Linked DNA regions of Saccharomyces cerevisiae S288C. The gene in region 1 interacts genetically with each later gene. Each region holds a gene or a part of one and is shown in the gene's direction. Other genes may lie near its edges. The genes, in order: NDL1, KAR9 and ABD1.

Evidence for each region.
Region 2: of NDL1 (region 1) and KAR9, changing one enhances a phenotype caused by changing the other (phenotypic enhancement), as found in Saccharomyces cerevisiae (one study listed by BioGRID).
Region 3: mutations in NDL1 (region 1) and ABD1 together harm fitness more than expected from each alone (negative genetic interaction), as found in Saccharomyces cerevisiae (2 studies listed by BioGRID).

Annotation. Positions count from the first base shown.
Region 1 is NC_001144.5:641,690-648,212, reverse strand, and holds NDL1 (Ndl1p), read left to right. Parts: upstream 1-3,239; coding exon 3,240-3,809; downstream 3,810-6,523. Other genes in the region: HAP1 (Hap1p), read right to left, coding at 1-1,798; YLR255C (uncharacterized protein), read left to right, coding at 2,260-2,613; CQD2 (Cqd2p), read right to left, coding at 3,877-5,586; SYM1 (ethanol metabolism protein), read right to left, coding at 6,156-6,523. UniProt on the Saccharomyces cerevisiae protein: Required for nuclear migration to the bud neck during cell division.
Region 2 is NC_001148.4:29,408-37,211, forward strand, and holds KAR9 (Kar9p), read left to right. Parts: upstream 1-3,605; coding exon 3,606-5,540; downstream 5,541-7,804. Other genes in the region: ATP15 (F1F0 ATP synthase subunit epsilon), read left to right, coding at 672-860; ATP-binding cassette permease MDL2, read left to right, coding at 1,075-3,396; PLC1 (phosphatidylinositol phospholipase C), read left to right, coding at 5,829-7,804. UniProt on the Saccharomyces cerevisiae protein: Involved in karyogamy. Component of a cortical adaptor complex that orients cytoplasmic microtubules. It may be involved in anchoring cytoplasmic microtubules to the cell cortex.
Region 3 is NC_001134.8:687,817-695,449, reverse strand, and holds ABD1 (mRNA (guanine-N7)-methyltransferase), read left to right. Parts: upstream 1-3,756; coding exon 3,757-5,067; downstream 5,068-7,633. Other genes in the region: YBR238C (uncharacterized protein), read left to right, coding at 1-343; DEAD-box RNA helicase PRP5, read right to left, coding at 932-3,481; VHC1 (Vhc1p), read right to left, coding at 5,187-7,633. UniProt on the Saccharomyces cerevisiae protein: Responsible for methylating the 5'-cap structure of mRNAs.

The DNA of each region.
Region 1 (6,523 bases):
TCGAGGTCAATGCAGATGCAGACATATTGCTAGATTCGTTGGGCACTAAAAATGAGCCACTTTCTTCTCCCAGGTCGACTTCGCAGGAATTAGAAGGTATGGATAGCCATGTCAATCTCAAGATTATTATCAGAATACCTAAGTTACAAGAATCGGAAAGTTTTGGAAGATTGATTTGTGTTATGGGTTGGTTCTCTAGTGTAGATGAAGATGGCATGCTCATACCAAAGTTGTTAACTGTGGGATTCATCGAAGACAACGAAAGCATTTGATTCACGTGATTTTTGAAATTCTGTTCATCTAAGATTGGAATGGCAGGGTATAAATGTTTGAAGAATTTCTCGATGAATAATGCGATGACGCGCTTTGGTGGCAACATCTCACAAAGTGTTGCGAGGACTTCAGATTCTGTCATGTAGGAATCATGTTTCCTGCTTTGTGCGGGATGCGAACGAGCATGAGATCCGGACTGTGGTTGGTGGTGTGGGATGGTATTGTGCGTTGAAGCTGGTAAGGCCGCTGTATTTTTCATGCTTGAATGGTCAATGGGGCAACGACTTGCCGGGTTCGAAGAAGAATTTGCCATGTCAGAGGGATAATCCTTCATATAGTTTCTATGGTCCACAGGACATTTTGACTGAGGCGGATTCATTGTATGCTTGTTATGGTCTATCATAGCTTTAGTGGAAAATGGGGAAGGTGTCTCGTCCTTGGGCGGCATCATTCCTGCGGAATACATGGTGTGGTCAACGGGACACCTCTTCTGGGACGAAGTGTCCTCTCTGGGAGGAATCATTCCCGAAGAGAACATGGTGTGGTCAACTGGACATTTCCTAGGAAGAGGAGTCTCCTCCTTTGGGGCCACCATGCCAGACGAAAACGCGGAGTGATCAACAGGACATTTTCTGGTAGCGGCGGCAGCGGCAGAAGGCGGCGCTTGCGCGTGATTGATGGGACATTTGCTTGACTTCAGCTTAGAGTACGAATTTTTTTGGTAGTACCATTCATTTAACTTTTCCCTCATAGCGAAGATATGACCCCACAAAAGTTTTAGGTACGGGTCACCTTTCATGATAGACAACCAGTGGGTGGCACCTAAGTGGATGGTTCCGTTACTTTTGATATGCAAAAGATCAAAGTCCTTAGTTAAGTCCAGCTCATCGTTGTCATATTTATTTGAGATAGAAAGGGACGAGGAATTCGCGTTGGCGTTCGCACTTCTGGAAAAGTCTTGTTGTTGTTCCTGTTGCTGCTGTTGCTGTTGTTGCTGATGCATATGCGAGGCAGAGGAAGCAGAGCCTGTATTTGCATTAACAAGGGTGGTGTGTTCATCGCTACCCATAAACAGGTTGCTGCTCTCGGGAGTGTTGTAACTTTTCAAGGAGTTAGACGAAGGAGAAGAGTGCACCTTAGAAAGAGTCTTTTCTAAAGATTTTACGCGCTCCCTAAGCTTCTTTAATTCGTTGTCCTTCAGCAATTCTTTCTCTGCCTCTTCTGCCCAGGTCTGTTCCATGTAGTGGCAGAGATGGGCTACCCCAGTTTTAGTGCACTGCTGGCAGTGTGGTCTGAGTTTGTCACATTTGACTTTCCTTTTCCGACAAATGGTGCAACTGAGCGGAATTCTGTTACGCTTCCTCTTGATCTTGGACGAATCTGAAGACATGTGCAAGGGTGGAGAGTTAGAGCTGGTGTTGGCACCGGGCGTAGTTGCTGTATGCATGTTAGGACTTCTTGAGACCGAAGACTGGGTCATGGATGCAATGGAAGGCACAGATGAATTATAAGGGGTATTCGACATCTAACCTATTGTTCCCTTTTTTTTTTTTTCTTTTTCTTCTATTTCCTTACCTTCTTGCCTGCGACTGGAGAAAAACTAAAAGGCCAAATTGAAAGGGAAGAAAAATTTTCTGCGAAAACAAAACAAGATGCTTTGATAAAAGGAAGTTGATGGAATGAGGTTCGATGAGATGAAATCAGATACAATTTTGTGCAATATCTTCAAACCTTAAAAGAGCACTGCAGGAACCTATTCTTTGGGAGAACAATAGCGTCTGTGTGCTTGCGGTATCTTGAGTTGTGAGTCTCAAATGTGTGCTTTGCATCTCGAAGAATAATAGAAAAAACCGAAAACCGAAAAAAATTGTGCCTCAAGAGTATATCCGATATATATGAACGCGATCGAGTTACCGGGGCCGTTGCTGGTGCCGTTGCCTGGTATTCTAAACGAGGCCGCGAGGGTGGATTTCGCCCGACGGGTGAATGGGTGTGGGTGGAACGAGGATTGTATCGTTTAGACAGCCGAATTATTACCCGGTTACTCAACAAAAAGGGGCAAGCCAGACAGGTGCAGTGGCTCAGCCGTACAGCTCGTACTGTGGTTTGCTAATGCGCTGGGCGGTTGTTGAGATAAGAAGAAGAGGGAAAGGGAAAGGAAGAAAGAGGAAGAGAGAGAGAGAGAAAGGGCACACGAAATTCAGGATACGGCGGAGGAGTTATCTTTATTTTATACGGTCTTGCCTTGTAAGGCCCTACTCAAGCGGGAACAAGAAAAACAGTTGTAGCTTCCACAAGATGTTGGCTATAGAGATTGTTCTGTGCTTAAAGGCTCGCTAATCAATATTTCTTGAAGTACGATTTCTGTGTGTATAGATTCTCCACAATTGTTTTTCTTAGTGAGGCTCCGCCACGATCGCGTCTTGCCATCATCGTCCATCCATGGAAAAGAGCTACAAAAAACGACTGCTGGTGTACATACAATGCTCTGGGTTTCGTACATTTGCTTACTAAGTGACAGAAGCGTTCATCGATCCTTCGAAAAGGGTAACAGCGGAAAAACAGGAAATATTGGCTACATACTATAACTCAACAACGTATCATGAACTATTCCGCATATTCGTAACCTTATTTGTAGCGCAGTAAAGCCGCTAAAGAGGTCTTCTCCTATCGGATCTTGCTTTTTTCTTCCTTTTTTTTTTTTTTTTACAATAGAACAATAAAAAAACTGAACGTTCTCTATATCATCTGTGACGGCAAGTATCAATTATTTTATCAATTAGTTTGCAGAATCGGGAAAATTAATAACATTAGAAATGAAAGTTTTCATACATAAATTTGCAATTAAGGATGAAAAAGAGGGATAATAAGGGCTACAACAAACCACGAACGGCCGAAAGAACAATCCTCGCAAATTTAATTGGAATATCCAAGGGACATATACGTGCAACAATTGCGACTTTCCTATGGTGCCGAATTTGGATTTGGAAACAGCTATACAGATAATCTCCTCACTGGAGACCCAGTTGAGCGAGCTTGAAGGCGCCACGAAAGAATATGAAAATGATTTGGAACAAGTAATATCAAAGTTAAAAAGCGATCTTCTTGAGAGCCAACAACAAAATAAGTGCAATAAGAAACAGATAACAGATTTAGAGATACAGGTAGATGAGTTGGAAAATGAAAATATCCAACTGAGGAATAAGATAGAGACATTACAATTGGAGAGTGACCGACGACTGGAACGCAACGTTCTACTGGAACACGAGTTACTCGACACCAAAGAGGCGCTGCAAAAGTTAAGAGTCAGCAAAGAAGAAGCCACTAGCGGTGAGACTAGAAGGAACACCAGGTCGTTACCCAGTCAAAATAAAAAAATGAAGTTGTTTAAGGATACTATCAAAGTCTCGACCACATCTTCAACCTTGTACTTGCAGAACATGGCAAAAACTAACAACGCTGCAAGAAGTCACTGTAATATTCCAAATACCCAAATAACACAATCCACTGTGATAGCAACAACGTCTTCCGTTTAATGACACATATAAAATTGTTATATATAATTTTACGTATATATTTACAAGTAGAAAGAACGCTAACGATTTAAGATGACAACCAAGTCTTCGGAATAAATTTTTTCCACCACAACACAAAATCATAAAAATACAATTGATTAATACGCCTCTCATAGACTATCCAGTTTGTCAAGTTCTCCCACATCCATTTAATAGACCACCTCGCATACTCCGAATTAATTCTTTCCACTTTTTCGTCGTAGACCGTCTTGGCGCAGTATTGCGTCATGATCAGGAAAGTCCTCTCTGGCCCGAGTGGATTCTGTAGACATTCATCAAGATGTCTGGTTAGGTCGTTAGTCTTCAATATCAAAAGCACTACACGAGGGATTCTAGACAAAATGCTCATCAAGTCGCTCAGTAACGTTCCTTCCAAGATCCCATTTGCCATGACGTCCATTTCTTCTTGTGTTCGACTCGTTGAAATGTCGTAATTCAAAGCAGCATCAATGCTACGGCCCGTAATTGCAGCCGCTAAAAGGGGAAACTGTTCGTCGGTGATGTTTGCGAATCCTTTGGCATACTTCTTCATTTTTGTCTGGTCCTTGTCGAATAGGAGCGACAACCAAAATTTGGCATAAAGTCTTCTTGTTCTCGTGCTAGGATATCTATAGAGTCCGTGGTCAAATAAAACAATTTCAAAGTTATGGTATCCATTATCTTTAGCGGGCTTAACAGATCGTATGGCCAGATTTCCTCCATGAGGATCACAATGAATACCTACATTGGGAGTAAAAATCATGTTATTGAAAATATGAGAGAGACAACTCGAAACTTCACTGCGCGAGATACCGTGACTGTCAATGTACTCCAAATCATCCAACCTTTTGCCTCCAACATATTCCATAATCAAAATTCTTTTGTGGCTTTCAATGACCTTGGGTATTTTCAATGCTGTTTGCTTCTTGAACTTACTAAAATAATGACGGGTTTTTTCTGCATTTTCAGCTTCTTTGGTAAAATTCAGTTCCACGTAGATTGAAGACTGAAGCTCATCACCAAGCCACGTTAACGGATAATCAGGGAAGAAGACATCCAGCAGTTCAAACACTGTTCTTGTCAGCATAACATCTAATGGTATAAACTCCTTCAACGATGGATGCTGACATTTGACAGCTACACTAGAACCTTTACCGTCACTATTTTTTAGTTTTGCCACATGAACCTGTGCCAAGGAAGCTACACCTATCGGGGTTTTGTTGAATTCTAAAAACATATCCTCAATGCTGGTGCCTAGATCTTCTTTAAATAACTCATCAATTTCTTCGTAGGTGGATTCGGGACAGTGGTCTTGCAACGGTATCATTGTATCCGTCCATTCTTTAGGCAACAGGTAGGTCATGGCCCCAATGTGCTGGCCTAATTTGATATATATCCCACCATTCGATCGTAGCGCATGCAACGTGATTAAGGCACACATCTTATGACATTTATTTAAGGCAACTTCTCGTTCTTTTTTGTTCTCATAGCTTTTATTTAGAGCCCTCTTGTAATGGTAGAAGCAACGAGTGGTAGCTTGTGTGACGACAGCGATTCTTTTAGTCGTCAGTGCCGTGTGCTTTACAGAATCATGAAAAGTGTCATTAAAGTTGTACAAAACTACTGCTGATGCAATAGTCCCACCCACCAGAAGAGATTTTCTTGTCCTGGGGCTTCTTTGAGGGATGCTTTTACCTGTCCTAACGTACCGACGGAATACCTCAAACGGTAGTTTGTTAAAAAAAGCTTTGGTCATCATCTACTATCAACACCGAATAAGAAACATTCAACTATAATCTTGCTCCGTTTCAGGCTCAATAAACTTTCAGACTGATTCTTTCCAGTTACGAAGGTAGGAGTACAATATGCATACATAACGCAGCGATTTACAAGATATGTTCCTCGGGTCTATGTTTTGACCTCTTTTAACGGCATATGAAAAAACCTTTGAAAAAATGAAATATTATATAAAGGTCCAGAACCCACAGTGGTACTAAAAGGCCCACTTAAGTCTCACACCTAATTAAACACCTTTGCATAAACGGTAGCTGAAGAACAACAGGCATGACCGCAATAGTGAAATGTTAGCTACTATTTCCTCTATAAAAGAAGTACGAATGTAATTAAATAAATTGTTCCTGACCAAGCACATCTGTAAAGGAAAAGCAGATTGCTAGCCAACTTTGGTGACTCAAATATTTATGAAGTTGGTCTGCTCTCTGCCGAAAGTCTATTAGGTATATGCTGTTCCAGTACCCCAAGGAACAAGGTCTGATAAATATGCTAGTTGAATTCCAAATATTTTCAAAATCAGGATTTCTTATCCAGTTATTCGACCACGGGTGGATAATGAACAGGTACCTTGTCTTTCTCCATAACCTTTGAGTTTTTATAAGATAAGTAAGTGTTCCAAAATATTGCAACGACATTAACAGCTAGTAACCTATGTTGTAAAGGAACAACAGAAAAGTTAATCGCTTGGAAAAGTGGCCAAACTGCCCAATTAGTCAAAAGTGTAGGCCACCATTGCTCTTTTATTTTCAACTTAGCTACGTCAAATGATCTACCTTCCATGATGGACATACAGGTGAAATAAAATGGCAAACCTAGCGGCGCAAACGCCAATTGATCGACAGCTACCCGTAAAACCATATTAGACCAGTGGTACTGAGGTCTGTTACGCATATAAATCTTGT
Region 2 (7,804 bases), on another chromosome or scaffold:
GCATTTATTCCTCTAATTCGCTCGATAATCAACCTTTCCGCACTACGACGGTGGCAATAGTTGGACCTTAAGATATGCCTATCTGAATACAATTCTTCAACTCACATCAGTGGGACACTAAATAAAGCATATGGTATGAAATACTATGAATTATTGAATTATTGGCAGACACAGCAGCGACAAGTCAGAGTGCTTACAAAAAAAAAAGAGTTGATCCGGCTAAAGAAAGTCTGATTTACGTATTTATCCAGGTTCAAACGGATTGCCAAAAATAGTCGATAACCTCGGAGTAAGCAAAGCAACAATATATTTGTTCTTCGAAAAGGTAAACTTCTTAACTTCTATAGAAGCATTGTACTAGTTCTCTCGAAGAAAAAAACTAAGAAAGCTATAGCTGTATCTTACCAAGCCATGAACTTGAGGAATTGGTAATCCTTATTAGGAAATACGCTAAACTAGGTAATAGCAGATGATTTACTAGCTTACTATCTCACACTAAGTCTGGCAACGCGCTTATTTTTTAATACTTTTATACGAACCAATGAAATTTGATCCTCCCCTTTTTCGTCTAGTTAAATGAAGAGATACAAGTAGGCCTTTCTATTGAGTACTTAGCAAGATATGTATTTCTAAGAAACATCAACAGTTTCAGCCCACAACCGATTCATAAAATGTCTGCCTGGAGGAAAGCTGGTATATCATATGCTGCATATTTGAATGTGGCCGCTCAGGCTATCCGTTCTTCATTGAAAACTGAATTACAAACCGCTAGTGTTCTTAACAGATCGCAAACAGATGCTTTTTATACCCAATATAAAAATGGCACTGCAGCTTCTGAACCCACTCCAATAACAAAATAGTTTAACGCTTCCTGGGAACTGCAGCTCTTTTTTTACTCGCTGATATACATTTTAAATATTCTAGCAACTGTGTATGAAAACTTACGTACTTTTATACGGGAAACTAATAATGACTACAATGATATTGAATACTGGCCGCTTCGAAGAGTGGTATAAAGTTTGTATCATTGCATTAAAAGAAAAAGAAATATATGTCCCATCATCGCCAATCGCAATGTTGAATGGTCGTTTACCACTTTTGCGGCTGGGCATATGCAGAAACATGCTGTCCCGTCCCCGACTGGCTAAACTGCCATCTATAAGGTTTCGGTCTTTGGTCACCCCTTCTTCATCGCAGCTCATTCCTCTCAGTCGGTTGTGTTTAAGGTCACCTGCAGTTGGAAAATCACTAATTTTACAAAGTTTTAGATGTAATTCATCCAAAACAGTTCCAGAAACTTCTCTGCCTTCAGCCTCTCCCATATCTAAAGGATCAGCAAGGTCGGCACATGCAAAGGAGCAATCTAAAACTGATGACTATAAAGATATAATAAGGTTATTTATGTTGGCGAAACGGGATTGGAAACTGCTTCTTACAGCCATACTTCTTTTAACCATATCATGTTCCATAGGCATGTCTATTCCTAAAGTCATAGGTATTGTCCTTGACACACTTAAGACGTCATCTGGATCAGATTTTTTTGATTTGAAGATACCGATTTTTTCTTTGCCTTTATATGAGTTTCTTTCCTTTTTTACTGTTGCTTTACTGATTGGTTGTGCTGCTAATTTTGGTAGATTTATATTATTGAGGATACTAAGTGAGCGTGTTGTTGCACGCCTAAGGGCAAATGTCATTAAAAAAACGCTTCATCAAGACGCAGAATTCTTCGACAACCATAAAGTTGGGGATTTAATTTCTCGTTTAGGATCTGATGCTTATGTTGTTTCAAGATCAATGACCCAGAAGGTCTCGGATGGGGTCAAAGCCCTAATTTGTGGGGTTGTTGGCGTGGGGATGATGTGTTCTTTGTCACCTCAACTATCAATATTGTTACTATTCTTCACTCCACCTGTTCTTTTTAGTGCCTCAGTGTTCGGGAAGCAAATTAGAAACACCTCTAAAGACCTTCAAGAAGCTACTGGTCAATTGACTAGAGTCGCTGAAGAACAACTCTCTGGTATCAAGACGGTTCAGTCGTTTGTTGCTGAAGGTAATGAATTGTCTAGGTATAACGTTGCAATTAGAGATATTTTTCAGGTGGGAAAAACTGCGGCATTTACAAACGCAAAGTTTTTTACTACAACTAGTCTCTTAGGTGACCTAAGTTTTTTAACCGTCCTTGCGTATGGCTCCTATCTTGTTTTACAATCACAGCTCTCCATTGGTGATCTGACTGCATTTATGCTGTACACAGAATATACGGGGAATGCGGTATTCGGCCTTTCTACCTTCTATTCGGAAATTATGCAGGGTGCTGGGGCCGCTTCCAGGTTGTTTGAATTAACAGATAGGAAACCTTCCATTTCACCGACTGTGGGACACAAGTATAAACCAGATCGTGGTGTTATCGAATTTAAAGATGTTTCATTTAGCTACCCTACAAGGCCTTCTGTTCAAATATTCAAGAATTTAAATTTTAAAATTGCGCCAGGATCGAGTGTTTGTATTGTGGGCCCTTCAGGTCGTGGTAAATCTACAATTGCACTCTTACTGCTAAGATATTATAATCCCACTACTGGGACTATTACGATAGATAACCAAGATATCTCTAAATTGAATTGTAAATCCCTAAGAAGGCATATTGGTATCGTTCAGCAAGAGCCGGTACTGATGTCAGGTACTATTAGGGATAATATCACTTATGGGTTGACATATACCCCAACAAAGGAAGAAATCAGGTCAGTAGCAAAGCAGTGCTTTTGCCATAACTTTATCACAAAATTTCCGAACACATACGATACGGTAATTGGTCCTCACGGCACCTTACTAAGTGGAGGACAAAAGCAGCGTATTGCGATTGCAAGGGCTCTAATCAAAAAGCCAACTATTTTGATTCTTGATGAAGCTACATCAGCTTTAGATGTTGAAAGTGAAGGAGCCATTAACTATACGTTTGGTCAACTAATGAAATCAAAATCGATGACTATTGTTAGCATCGCGCACAGGCTAAGTACGATCAGAAGATCAGAGAATGTTATTGTCCTTGGCCATGATGGATCAGTGGTAGAAATGGGCAAATTCAAAGAATTGTATGCGAATCCAACAAGTGCTTTATCGCAATTACTTAATGAGAAAGCGGCTCCTGGGCCATCTGACCAACAACTGCAAATAGAGAAGGTCATCGAAAAGGAAGATTTGAATGAGAGTAAGGAGCATGATGACCAGAAAAAGGACGATAATGACGATAATGATAATAATCATGATAACGACAGCAATAACCAGTCTCCAGAGACGAAAGACAATAATTCAGATGATATTGAAAAATCTGTCGAACATCTCCTGAAAGACGCGGCAAAGGAGGCTAATCCAATTAAGATCACACCACAACCGTGAGTCATCCGCATCGCATATACCCATTCTTATCTCGCACATTTAAATATATACTATATATAATACTGTTAAATGCCAAATAAAAAGGATTTTCATTACCCGAATCGATACTTTTGGTAGCATAAACAAATAACATTGAAACAATAACAAAGTGTAATGTGGCCGCACGAATCTTTGTCTGTAACAGCCTTAAAGATTTCAGTAGCACTGCCATGGATAATGATGGACCCAGATCTATGACCATTGGGGATGACTTCCAAGAGAACTTTTGTGAACGTTTAGAAAGAATTCACAATACATTACATTCAATAAACGATTGCAACTCATTGAATGAGAGTACCACAAGTATATCAGAGACATTGTTAGTTCAATTTTATGATGATTTGGAGAACGTTGCCTCGGTAATTCCCGACTTAGTCAACAAGAAAAGACTGGGAAAAGACGATATTTTGTTGTTTATGGACTGGTTATTATTGAAAAAATATATGCTATATCAATTTATTAGTGACGTTCATAATATTGAGGAAGGTTTTGCTCATTTGTTGGATTTACTAGAGGATGAATTCTCGAAGGACGATCAGGATAGCGACAAATACAATCGATTTAGCCCGATGTTTGACGTCATAGAAGAATCTACACAAATTAAGACTCAGTTGGAGCCATGGCTTACTAACTTGAAGGAATTATTGGATACGTCATTGGAATTTAACGAAATTTCAAAGGATCATATGGATACATTACATAAAATCATTAATAGCAATATATCGTATTGTCTGGAAATTCAGGAAGAAAGGTTCGCGTCCCCGATACGGCATACTCCATCATTTACCCTAGAACAACTAGTCAAGTTATTAGGAACGCATACGGAGACAACTGAGCCAAAGGTACCAAAATTTTCTCCGGCAGAAGATATTTTATCAAGAAAGTTCTTGAACCTAAAAAAAAATATCCCTCCAATTGAAAAAAGTTTGACTGATATCCTACCTCAAAGAATTGTGCAATTTGGGCACCGGAATATAACAAACATAACTACTTTGCAAACAATCTTGCAAAAAAAATACGAGCTGATAATGAAAGATTATAGATTTATGAATTCAGAGTTTAGGGAATTGAAAGTCGAACTAATCGACAAACGTTGGAATATACTCTTTATTAATTTAAATCATGAACTATTATACATTCTTGATGAGATAGAAAGGTTGCAGTCGAAATTACTGACAACAAAGTATACCAAAGATATCACTATAAGGCTCGAGAGGCAATTGGAGAGAAAATCAAAAACTGTTTCTAAGACATTCAATATTATTTACAGAGCATTGGAATTCTCACTTTTGGACGCTGGCGTCGCATCGAAGACAAATGAATTAGCTCAAAGATGGCTGAATATCAAGCCTACAGCGGATAAAATTCTAATCAAATCCTCCGCTTCAAACAAAATAGCTACTAGCAAGAAGAAGATTCCAAAACCGAAATCATTAGGCTTTGGGCGACCGAATAGTGTTATTGGAACTATAACCCAGGATTTCCAGGAGAGAGTCGCCATTAATGAAGGTGACAGTAATAAAACACCGGAAAATTCAACTACAGTGGCTTTGAAAGGTAAAAAGCTTGGTAAAGCGTTACTGCAGAAGATGAATATTAAACCTGCAACAAGCCCAAATTCATCAAATGCGATTAATCCATTTTTTGATCCGGAGTCGCCAAACAAAGGAAAACTGATACTAAGTAGTGTTCCTCCCTTACCTTATGACGAAACCGATGAAACCACCCTCCGTGTTTCTCGTGGGGAAAATGAAAAGTCACCAGACTCCTTCATTACATCTCGGCATGAAAATAAAGTACAGATTACAGAAACTCCTTTGATGGCAAAGAATAAGTCTGTGCTTGACATCGAAAAAGATAAATGGAATCATTACCGGTCCTTGCCCTCTAGGATCCCTATATACAAGGATAAAGTGGTGAAAGTCACCGTAGAAAACACACCGATAGCAAAGGTTTTCCAGACTCCGCCAACAAAAATCACGACACCTAATAGTCAAGTTTGGGTCCCTTCGACAAGAAGAAGAACCCGATTGAGGCCTCCCACCCCCTTATCACAGTTACTTTCACCAAGAGAAGGGCGTTTAGATAAAACCCCAACTTATTGATACTAACCTAAAACTGTATACTTATACATTTTTATATATCCTCCCTCTCACCCTCTCCATTCATAGAATTTGTAATACTAGTTTAAATAATGTAATATTATGTGTAATTTTAAATAGTCCATGAAGATTCCGCACGTTTTCATTTTACAGTTTTTGACACCTTTACCCGACGCTTTATAAAAAAAATAGTATAAGCATCACGACATAAGCAGCCTCAGGTCATTAAAACAATAAAAGACTGGGAATTATAAACGTACAACGGTAAGGTCATTCACGCAGTGTATATGAATGACTGAAAGTGCTATAGATGACCAAAGGTTTAATCTTACAAAGGAGTTACAACGACACTCATGCAGAGATCAAGGGAAAATAACACAAAAGGATGATGCTTTAGATTTTATAAGTTACAGTTCTTTTCAATCCTCTTTTAATACTGACCAAAAAAGCGCGAACAATGGAAGTACTGTGAGAAGAAGCATAAGGTCGATTTTTAGAAGAGCAGCCGAATTGCCTAGAGTCCATATGGGGCCTCTTACTTATTCACATGGGATAAATGAGCTTGTTAACAAGAAATTAAGAAAAGACTGTGATCTCAGCACGCTATGTCGCGTATTGCAAAGAGGAATCAGGATGATTAGGATGACAAGAAGAAGAAGGAAGTTCTATGAATTTAAATTAATCAATAACAACGGGCAAATAATATGGAAAGATGGTTCGAAGTATCTGGAATTAGACTCCGTTAAAGACATCAGAATCGGTGATACGGCGAGTACTTATCAAGAGGAAGTAGATCCGAAAAGATTGAGATCGGACAGTAAACTTTGGATTGCTATTATTTATAAGGTTTCCAACAAATTGAAAGCGTTACACGTAGTTGCTTTGAATGAATTGGACTTTAACACATTCTTAAGCTGCATTTGCGGTTTAGTGAAGTTAAGGAGGGAATTAATGGAAAGCATACTTTTGCCTGATAATTCGCAATTCGCTAGGATACATTGGCAAATTACTGTTTCTGAAAAAGAGGAAGATGAGAAAAAGGACACATTGAGCTTTGCAGATGTGAAGAAACTATGTGATAAATTTCATATTTATGTGTCAACTGGTCAATTGTTAGAGTTTTTCCAATTAGCAGACATCAATCATAACGGACTATTAAATTATTTTGAATTTGAAAAGTTCATTAAAATCTTAAAGAATAGGAAAGAGGTAAATATGATTTGGTCTAAATTTACAAAACCTCCACACTCCCACTTATCATTTGAAAATTTTTTTCAATTTTTAATTACAGAGCAGCATGAGCAAGTGGATCGTCAAACTGCATGGTCATATTTTATTAAGTACAGAGAACCGACTCAGCTGACGATGGGGCAAGATGGTTTTACCAAGTTCTTGAAGGAGCAACCATATTTGGTGGAGGTTAAAGAGGAGTTATATTCAAAGCCATTAAACCATTATTTTATTGCATCTTCACATAATACTTATTTATTGGGGAAACAAATTGCAGAAACTCCATCTGTGGAGGGATATATTCAAGTCCTACAACAAGGTTGTAGGTGCGTAGAAATTGATATATGGGATGGTGAAAATGGGCCAGTGGTATGCCATGGATTTTTAACGTCAGCTATTCCCTTAAAAACAGTTATACGCGTGATAAAGAAGTACGCTTTTATAACGTCTCCGTATCCTTTGATTATTTCACTGGAAATAAACTGTAACAAGGATAATCAAAAATTGGCAAGCCTGATAATGAGAGAGGTTTTAGCAGAACAGCTGTACTTTGTTGGCACAAGAACTGATAAACTGCCATCACCAAGGGAATTAAAACATAAAATACTGTTGAAATCCAAGAAGACGAGTGAAGCAACTAGAGGTCTTAGCGTTAATGAGCCATTTCCATCTTCTTTTAGTTCTTCTTACGAATCAGCTAATGAACAGGAATTAAGAATGAAAGATGACTCCACGAACAGTAGTAGCGCAACAAATTCTTCTAGTATGCAACGCATCAAAAGAATTGGATTAAAAAAGCACGCTGATATAATTAATGATGTTTCTAACATTTCTGGAATACATGGCATCAAGTTCAGGAATTTCTCTTTACCAGAGTCCAAAACGATAGCGCATTGTTTTTCACTGAATGAGCGCAAAGTAGAATACATGATAAAAGACAAACACTTAAAATTATCGTTGGATAAACATAATAGAAGATATTTGATGAGAGTCTATCCTCACGTTTTACGATACAAATCATCAAATTTTAACCCAAT
Region 3 (7,633 bases), on another chromosome or scaffold:
GGATACTCCAGCACCAGAGCATTTGTTCAACAATCCTCAAAATCCAATGGACTTCTACTCTCATCCAGCATTGCAAGCAGCAACTGCTTCTGGTGCATTTGATGAATTTGCTGCGGAGGCTGCTTCTTCTTCCATACCAGTTGACGGCAGAATGGTTTTGTATTTGAAAATTGTTAAACGTTACTCTCCATATTGCCGTGATTCCAGACAACTAGCCAGATTAACAACAGGGACCGCTGTCAAATATTCCGTTTTGCAAGAAGTTTTGAACCAATTCCAAACTTTAATCGTTAACGATATTCCTATTCCTGAATTACATAATTTGAAGCCAACGTGTGTTTAAAGTTAATATCCTTCACTTTTCACCTTCTTTCTCTACAGAACAAAAAAAGAAAGAAGAGTAACAATTTCAAATTTATATTCCCTATGAATTGATGTGATAAACTTACCATTATTAATATTATTATTCGATTGTCAGTTTTTCCCTTCCTTATTTTTATCGTTATTTCATTATTTTTTATTTGTCATATCACATCTCAAATCAACTAAAAAACTATTATTATATTCTTCAAGCCTACCATTTTCTTGATAAATTTTTTTGAAGTTACTTTTATTCCATGTTTTGTTTTTATTTGCTTTTCTACTTTTATTTTCCCCTCTTAATTTTTTTTTAAAGCATTTACCTTTCATTATATCCTATGAATTCTCATTGTTTCTTTCCCACTTTTTTAAATTCCATTTTATTCGAATCGATAAAAATTTCAAGATTTTTTTCTACATCATATATTATATATTATTTTGTTTTTATTTTTCCTAATAATTCTCTTTTTTTTTTTTTATTATGATTGAATATGCTTTAAATTACCACCCTAAAAATTTCAGAACTAACTACGAAAGTATATAGCACCACGAGTGAGTTAAATTCTAAAAACTAGTATTTAGTACTCTTCAAAGACAAGCTTGCAGCCTTTACGACCCCCTCTTTAACTTTTTGCTCCAGCAATTCTATACTTAATTGTATGTCTTTCTCATCTTGGCCTTCGATCAATAAGTATAGTTTAGGCTCATCGTTTTCATTCTTTGGTTCCTTCCCTTCAGGGTAAAATTTACCCTTGTTAGTAATACTACATCCGGTTTCATGCTTGATAAATAATAAGGTTGTATTCTTTGTAGCCTCCCATCTTACAATCTGGGGTAAATCATTAATATAAACCTTGGCGTAAAAGATGATCGACCCGTCTGTAGACTCTTTGAATAGTTCATAATTGAGTCTCGGAATAAGCGCAGAAGACTCAGACACACTGTCATGCCCTTCGCGTGGATTGCTGATTTTCTTTTCCAAGTCATCGCTCCTCTTATCATTCTTTTTGAGCTCCAAATCTTTATTTTGAGCTTCCTCTCTTTTACTTTTGATATTTTCCAGTCCTTTGCCGCCGAACCCTTTCGACAACCTAAACTTACCCTTTTTCATACCGGATTCAAACTTGGCACTCATTTCCTGAAGTTCTTTTGCTTGCAGAGGGTCTAAAGCTTTTATTTCTTCATCGCGCATTGCCTTGCTCAAGATATAAGCACCTGACAGTTCATCATGCAATAGAAGAGTAATAGCAGTACCGGAGCGACTACCTCTGGCAGTTCTTCCAGTAGTATGAACATATTGCGCGAAAGTTTTGACGGCGTTATAGATAATAACCAACGACACTTCGGGAACATTTAAACCTCTTGAGAGAACCTCTGTACAGAGAAGAATACTGTTCTTTTCTCGTTTGAACTTTTCTAAGTTCATAAGCCTTTCTTGATATGGCTTACCTGCATGAATAGCACAGGTCACAATTCCAGCATTTAACAGCTTTTTTGAAATGAAGTCGCAAATATTCTGACTTGATACAAATATAATGGCTTTAGCATCAACTTCTTCAACATCGCTTGACTGTCCGTCATTTTCACTTTGAACCTCGTCAAAAAATTCACTGCGCTCATGGATAAGCTGCACCAGATTGTCAAATTTTTCATCTTCTGAATGGCATATTCTAAACTTTTGTTTTACGTTTTCATTAACCATTCCCTTTGAATTAATCGTAATAGATATTGGGGAATGCAAAACTCTTACGGCAAAACTGCGTAGTTTGTTCGGAAAAGTTGCACTAAATAGAACACACTGTTTATCCGGTCGAACAGTTTTCATGATTTGCGTTATTTGAGGTTCAAAACCTAAATCGAACAGCCTGTCTGCCTCATCCATTACTACGAACGTTATTCTTTTAGTACTAAGTAATTTCCCATCATTTAGTGTTAATATATCAATAAATCGTCCCGGTGTGGCAACAACAATCTCAGTGCCTCTTTTAAGATCAGTAATCTGCTTTTTCATTTCAGAACCTCCTGTACAGCATACTGATCTAATGGATGTATCTGCTTCTGTGAATTTAGTAACTTCTTCATGTATTTGTAAAGCTAGCTCTCTAGTTGGAGCCAGAATTAAACCCATGGGCCCTGTTTCATGTTTTGATAATGGCCGTTGAGCTTTTACTTGTCTTAGCAATGGTAAAAGATAGGAGATGGTCTTGCCGGAGCCAGTTTTTGATATTCCTATAACATCACGACCTGACATAATAGCGGGAAGAGCCTGGGATTGAATAGGCGTTAAGGAGCCAAAGTGCAACTTTTCTGTAATTAAAACCATGGTGTCCGTTGATAGTCCCAGTTGAGACCACTTTGTGACTGGTTTGGGGCAACCTGTTCCCTTTATTTTGATATTATCCAGACTAAGTCTAAGCTCCTCAACTTCCATCTCTGACATCGAGGAAACTGTTTCAGATTCTATATAAAAATTTTTTTGGAACGGCTCAAGCTCTTCTGGAGAGTAATAAATTTGCTTTACACGTTTTTTTGCTTTGAGTTTAGCAATTTTCGCTATATTAGAATTATCCGTATTATCTTCAACATCCTCATCGTCGGTTCCTCCAAGTTCAAACAATTGATCCTCTACATCAAGAATGTCGCCTCTGTCGTACATGCCTTTACTATTACTCATTTTCTCCTCCTTCAATGACGTCATAAACTCATCCAGTGGATCTTTTTCATTATCATGCTCTGGAGCTTTTTGAATGTGCTCCTTCGATCTAAAAGAAACTCCTATTTCAGAATCATCGTCATCACTGAAGTCGAAGGATATTTTCTTCTTTACCTTACTTCTCTTCGACTTTTTCTTCGAAGGCTTAACCGATACAGGTTCGTCAGATTTCCTAAATTCATTTTTTCTCTTCCGAAGCTCTTCTTTTACACGTTCCTGTCTTTCCGTAAACTTTTCAGTAGTCTGCTTACCTTCTAAACTGTTAGTAACAATGTCATTGCGTGAAGTTTGATGCTCTTTCTGAGCATCAAATTGTGCTTTTTTTTGTTTCCATTTTGCTAGTTTTTTCCTCCTTTCCTCCAATAAAGACTCCCTATTAATATTTTGCTTCGAATCAATAGTTTCCATACCTCAAATAAACCCAAGGCAACAGCGTTATGATTTCCCTTCTCGAATTATTTGGCGCTGTATTATATTAGAAAGAACTCTAATACCTTTAGTTTGGTCCATTGCTCTAAATGACTTTAATTAGTTTCATCTAATCCGGGTAATGGTAAATCAAGATATTTCAACATAAATTAGAAGATTTCTTATTTTAATCCTTTACATGTGAGACACTTTTCCGATTAATGTGACAACTACTACAACGTGGAGTCGTCCATTATCCGTCTTAGAAAAGTAGAATGTCAACCAAACCAGAGAAGCCAATATGGATGTCACAAGAAGACTATGACCGTCAGTACGGCTCAATTACTGGTGATGAATCGTCCACAGTCTCAAAAAAAGACTCCAAAGTTACTGCCAATGCGCCTGGTGATGGTAATGGATCATTACCAGTTTTGCAAAGCAGCTCTATCCTTACTTCTAAGGTGTCTGATCTACCCATTGAGGCAGAATCCGGGTTTAAAATCCAAAAGAGAAGACATGAAAGGTATGATCAAGAGGAAAGATTACGCAAACAGCGTGCTCAAAAATTGAGAGAAGAGCAACTAAAGAGACATGAAATAGAGATGACTGCAAATAGATCCATAAATGTTGACCAGATTGTCCGAGAGCACTATAATGAACGTACAATAATCGCCAATCGCGCTAAGAGGAATCTATCGCCTATTATTAAGCTTCGTAATTTTAACAATGCGATTAAGTATATGTTAATTGACAAATATACAAAACCTGGAGATGTCGTTTTAGAACTCGGATGTGGCAAAGGTGGTGATTTAAGAAAATATGGTGCTGCAGGTATTTCACAGTTTATTGGTATTGACATTTCCAATGCCTCTATCCAAGAAGCTCATAAGAGATACCGGTCCATGAGAAATTTGGACTACCAAGTTGTGCTAATTACTGGGGATTGCTTTGGCGAATCATTAGGTGTTGCAGTAGAGCCCTTCCCAGACTGTAGATTTCCGTGTGATATCGTTTCGACGCAATTTTGCTTGCATTATGCTTTTGAGACCGAAGAAAAAGCAAGGAGAGCTTTACTGAATGTCGCCAAATCACTCAAAATTGGTGGTCACTTTTTTGGCACGATACCAGATTCAGAATTCATTCGTTATAAACTGAATAAATTTCCCAAAGAAGTGGAAAAGCCATCTTGGGGAAACTCCATTTATAAAGTGACATTTGAGAATAATTCATACCAAAAGAATGATTATGAGTTCACATCGCCTTATGGTCAAATGTATACTTATTGGCTAGAAGATGCTATAGATAATGTTCCTGAATATGTTGTGCCATTCGAAACCTTAAGAAGTTTGGCTGATGAATACGGTTTGGAACTAGTATCGCAAATGCCTTTTAATAAATTTTTTGTCCAAGAAATTCCCAAATGGATTGAGAGGTTTTCGCCTAAAATGAGGGAAGGTTTACAAAGATCTGATGGTAGATATGGTGTTGAAGGGGATGAAAAGGAAGCGGCATCATATTTCTATACCATGTTTGCATTCCGTAAGGTAAAACAGTATATCGAACCGGAAAGCGTAAAGCCCAACTGAAATAAAAATGAATAGAAACAATAACCCTACTATAAAGCATCTGTATTTCGGCCGTATTACAAGACTTCTATATGTAGTAAATAAGTTCTGGGGAAATGCATAACGATATATGTGTTATTCTATAATGCAGTAGTTACTGTCATGGTTTGCGAATTGATTAACATGCATGGAGGTAAGCCCTCCAACCAAATATCCAAGTCCTCGACATATTGTAAACTTGCATCGTGATCTTCATGTGTTCCAAGAGCTGGAACTGGCAAGGTTGAAAAAATTAAATCCGAACTCTTTGACATTTGTGTCATCACATCATTCAGAACCAAATGTTGAGCAGTGCTGGGAAGATCATTGAAACCTAAATTTTGCATCGCTGTGACTAAACTATCTTTTGAACAACAAGGTGATAATTCGGGAAGAACCGGTTTCTTTAATTTGTTGCCGTTGCCAATACCGCTCCCAGTACCGTTCCCATTCGAAAGGTCAGGTTCGGCAATTGGGATCAGTGTCGGCTGTTCACCCGTGCCATCTTCCACGACTCTCGTCCTCGGCAAAGTATTACTCGAGAAAACGGGTCTTAACGACTGTGTTGACACATCGCTTTGTAAATTCTTTACGAGTAAATTTGTTCTGTCGGAACCGGTCTTCGATTTGGTCGTTAAGTCCTTACCTACTGAAATATTAGTCGATGCCGAGAAGGCATCACGAATTGACGTAAGATCTGTATCCAAATCGGAGTCCTCACTCTCGCATGGGGTATCAATGCGGTTAGTTGGCATTCTCGTATTCATTGTAAATGAGACACCCAATTTCTGAACCCCAGACGTATATTTTCTTGATTGTGTAAATTGCTTTGCTATCGTTTGAGGTTCAATAGTGGAAAACCTCCGCTTCGGTTTTAATGTATCACGAGCTTCAACCAAATCTTTCCACCATTCATTATCGGCCAATTTCGAGTTGACATAATCAAACACGATTGGGTCTCCCTTGACAATTGTGTTGTATACTCTGAATTGATCTAAAGATACTACCAAAACCTCTGCGTCAATTCTTAGAACCTGTAATAGCTTTTTCATTCGTTGAGTTTCGTTCGTTCTATGATATTCTTGTTCCACAAATAAAATAACTCGAAGCGAATGTGTGCGCTTCCATTCAGGAACAGTAACCAAAATGGCAGCTAATTGTAGAATCAGTGTATACGTATCAAAGTTAGTAGTGATAGCCGCAGGCTGGTCACCCTTTGCCTCAACTTTTCCGCACATTTGGATGGGATAAAGATCTATAGTTTTTTTTGGAAAGCAGCTGTCCCTTTTGTTCGGTATCTCTAAATTTTTGAATCCATGCGCTATGGCAATATTGGATTGCATCAGTGATAGATCTTCTACAATTTGAACCCATTGTTGTACATTAACTTTGGTTTCATTTTTACACTCATCCGTAGGCAATGGAACATTGATTTTGACATCAGAGCATGTACTACGTGGCACTGTAGCTTTTATTTCCACCTGTTTCTGAAGGTTATTTTGGCTGCGACTTTGTGGGATGTGCTTTCTATAACTTTCGAGGTCAAAAAAACCGACAACAGTAATGTTTGGTTTCATACCTCCAAGCCCGGAACCAATAAAAACATTCCTAATTCCCCATATAAGGGAGGGACCAGTCCCAACTTGGACAAAAGCCTTTATTGCTGCCATGTCTCTGATCTTCATCCAAGCTTTCTGCTGAGTTTTTAATTCATTTAGTTGCTTCGGAAAATCCGCAGTTACTGCAACATGGCCTAAAATATACAAACCACCTTTTTTCAAATGATTGCAAAACCTTATTAAGTTCCAGCTCGTCCTTGGATTATCTACAAACAGCAATATTTGAGGCCTCCAGTATTTAATATTGTCTTGACGTAGGCGAAGCAAATACTTTCTCACTTGATGATATATTAAACTTTGAGACACATCACCCCAAGACTTCGGTGGTGAAAAATAATGAATGAATAAAAATAGCAAAATCATAGCCAAAAACAAGACAGACGCTGAGATGCCATCAACTATTAACATCGCAACAACAGAAAGTAATGCGCCAATTGCTGTAGTATACCTGTTAAAGTATTTGAAAGAGGGCCTGAAATTGGGAGCAGAGGAAATACCTAATAGGAAGCACGCCAAATTCATGACCACAAACGTCATTAAGAATGTCATTGTGATAAATGTGGCGATTTTATTGACGTCTGAAAACAAACATAGCTGTGTTAGAATCCAAGTAAAAATCAATGAATATAACGGTGAATGAGCAAAAATCTCCAAACCAGGAATAATGTTATCCTTTGCAATTGCTTCTAATACATAAGCAGCACCGAGCATCCCCACTATGATGGAGAAAAGAGAAGTAGCCATTTCACCCATGAATATAACCCACTGAACGGAACTGATCGTCTGTATAATTTGTACTTCATCATATAACGATCTTCTGGGAATGGAACAACCCATGGAGAAGACAACAACGGCATAACAGATAAAAGTGAAAAGTAAACCCCATAAGGTACCCTTAGGAATTGATTTAGAGGGCTTTCTCAATTCAC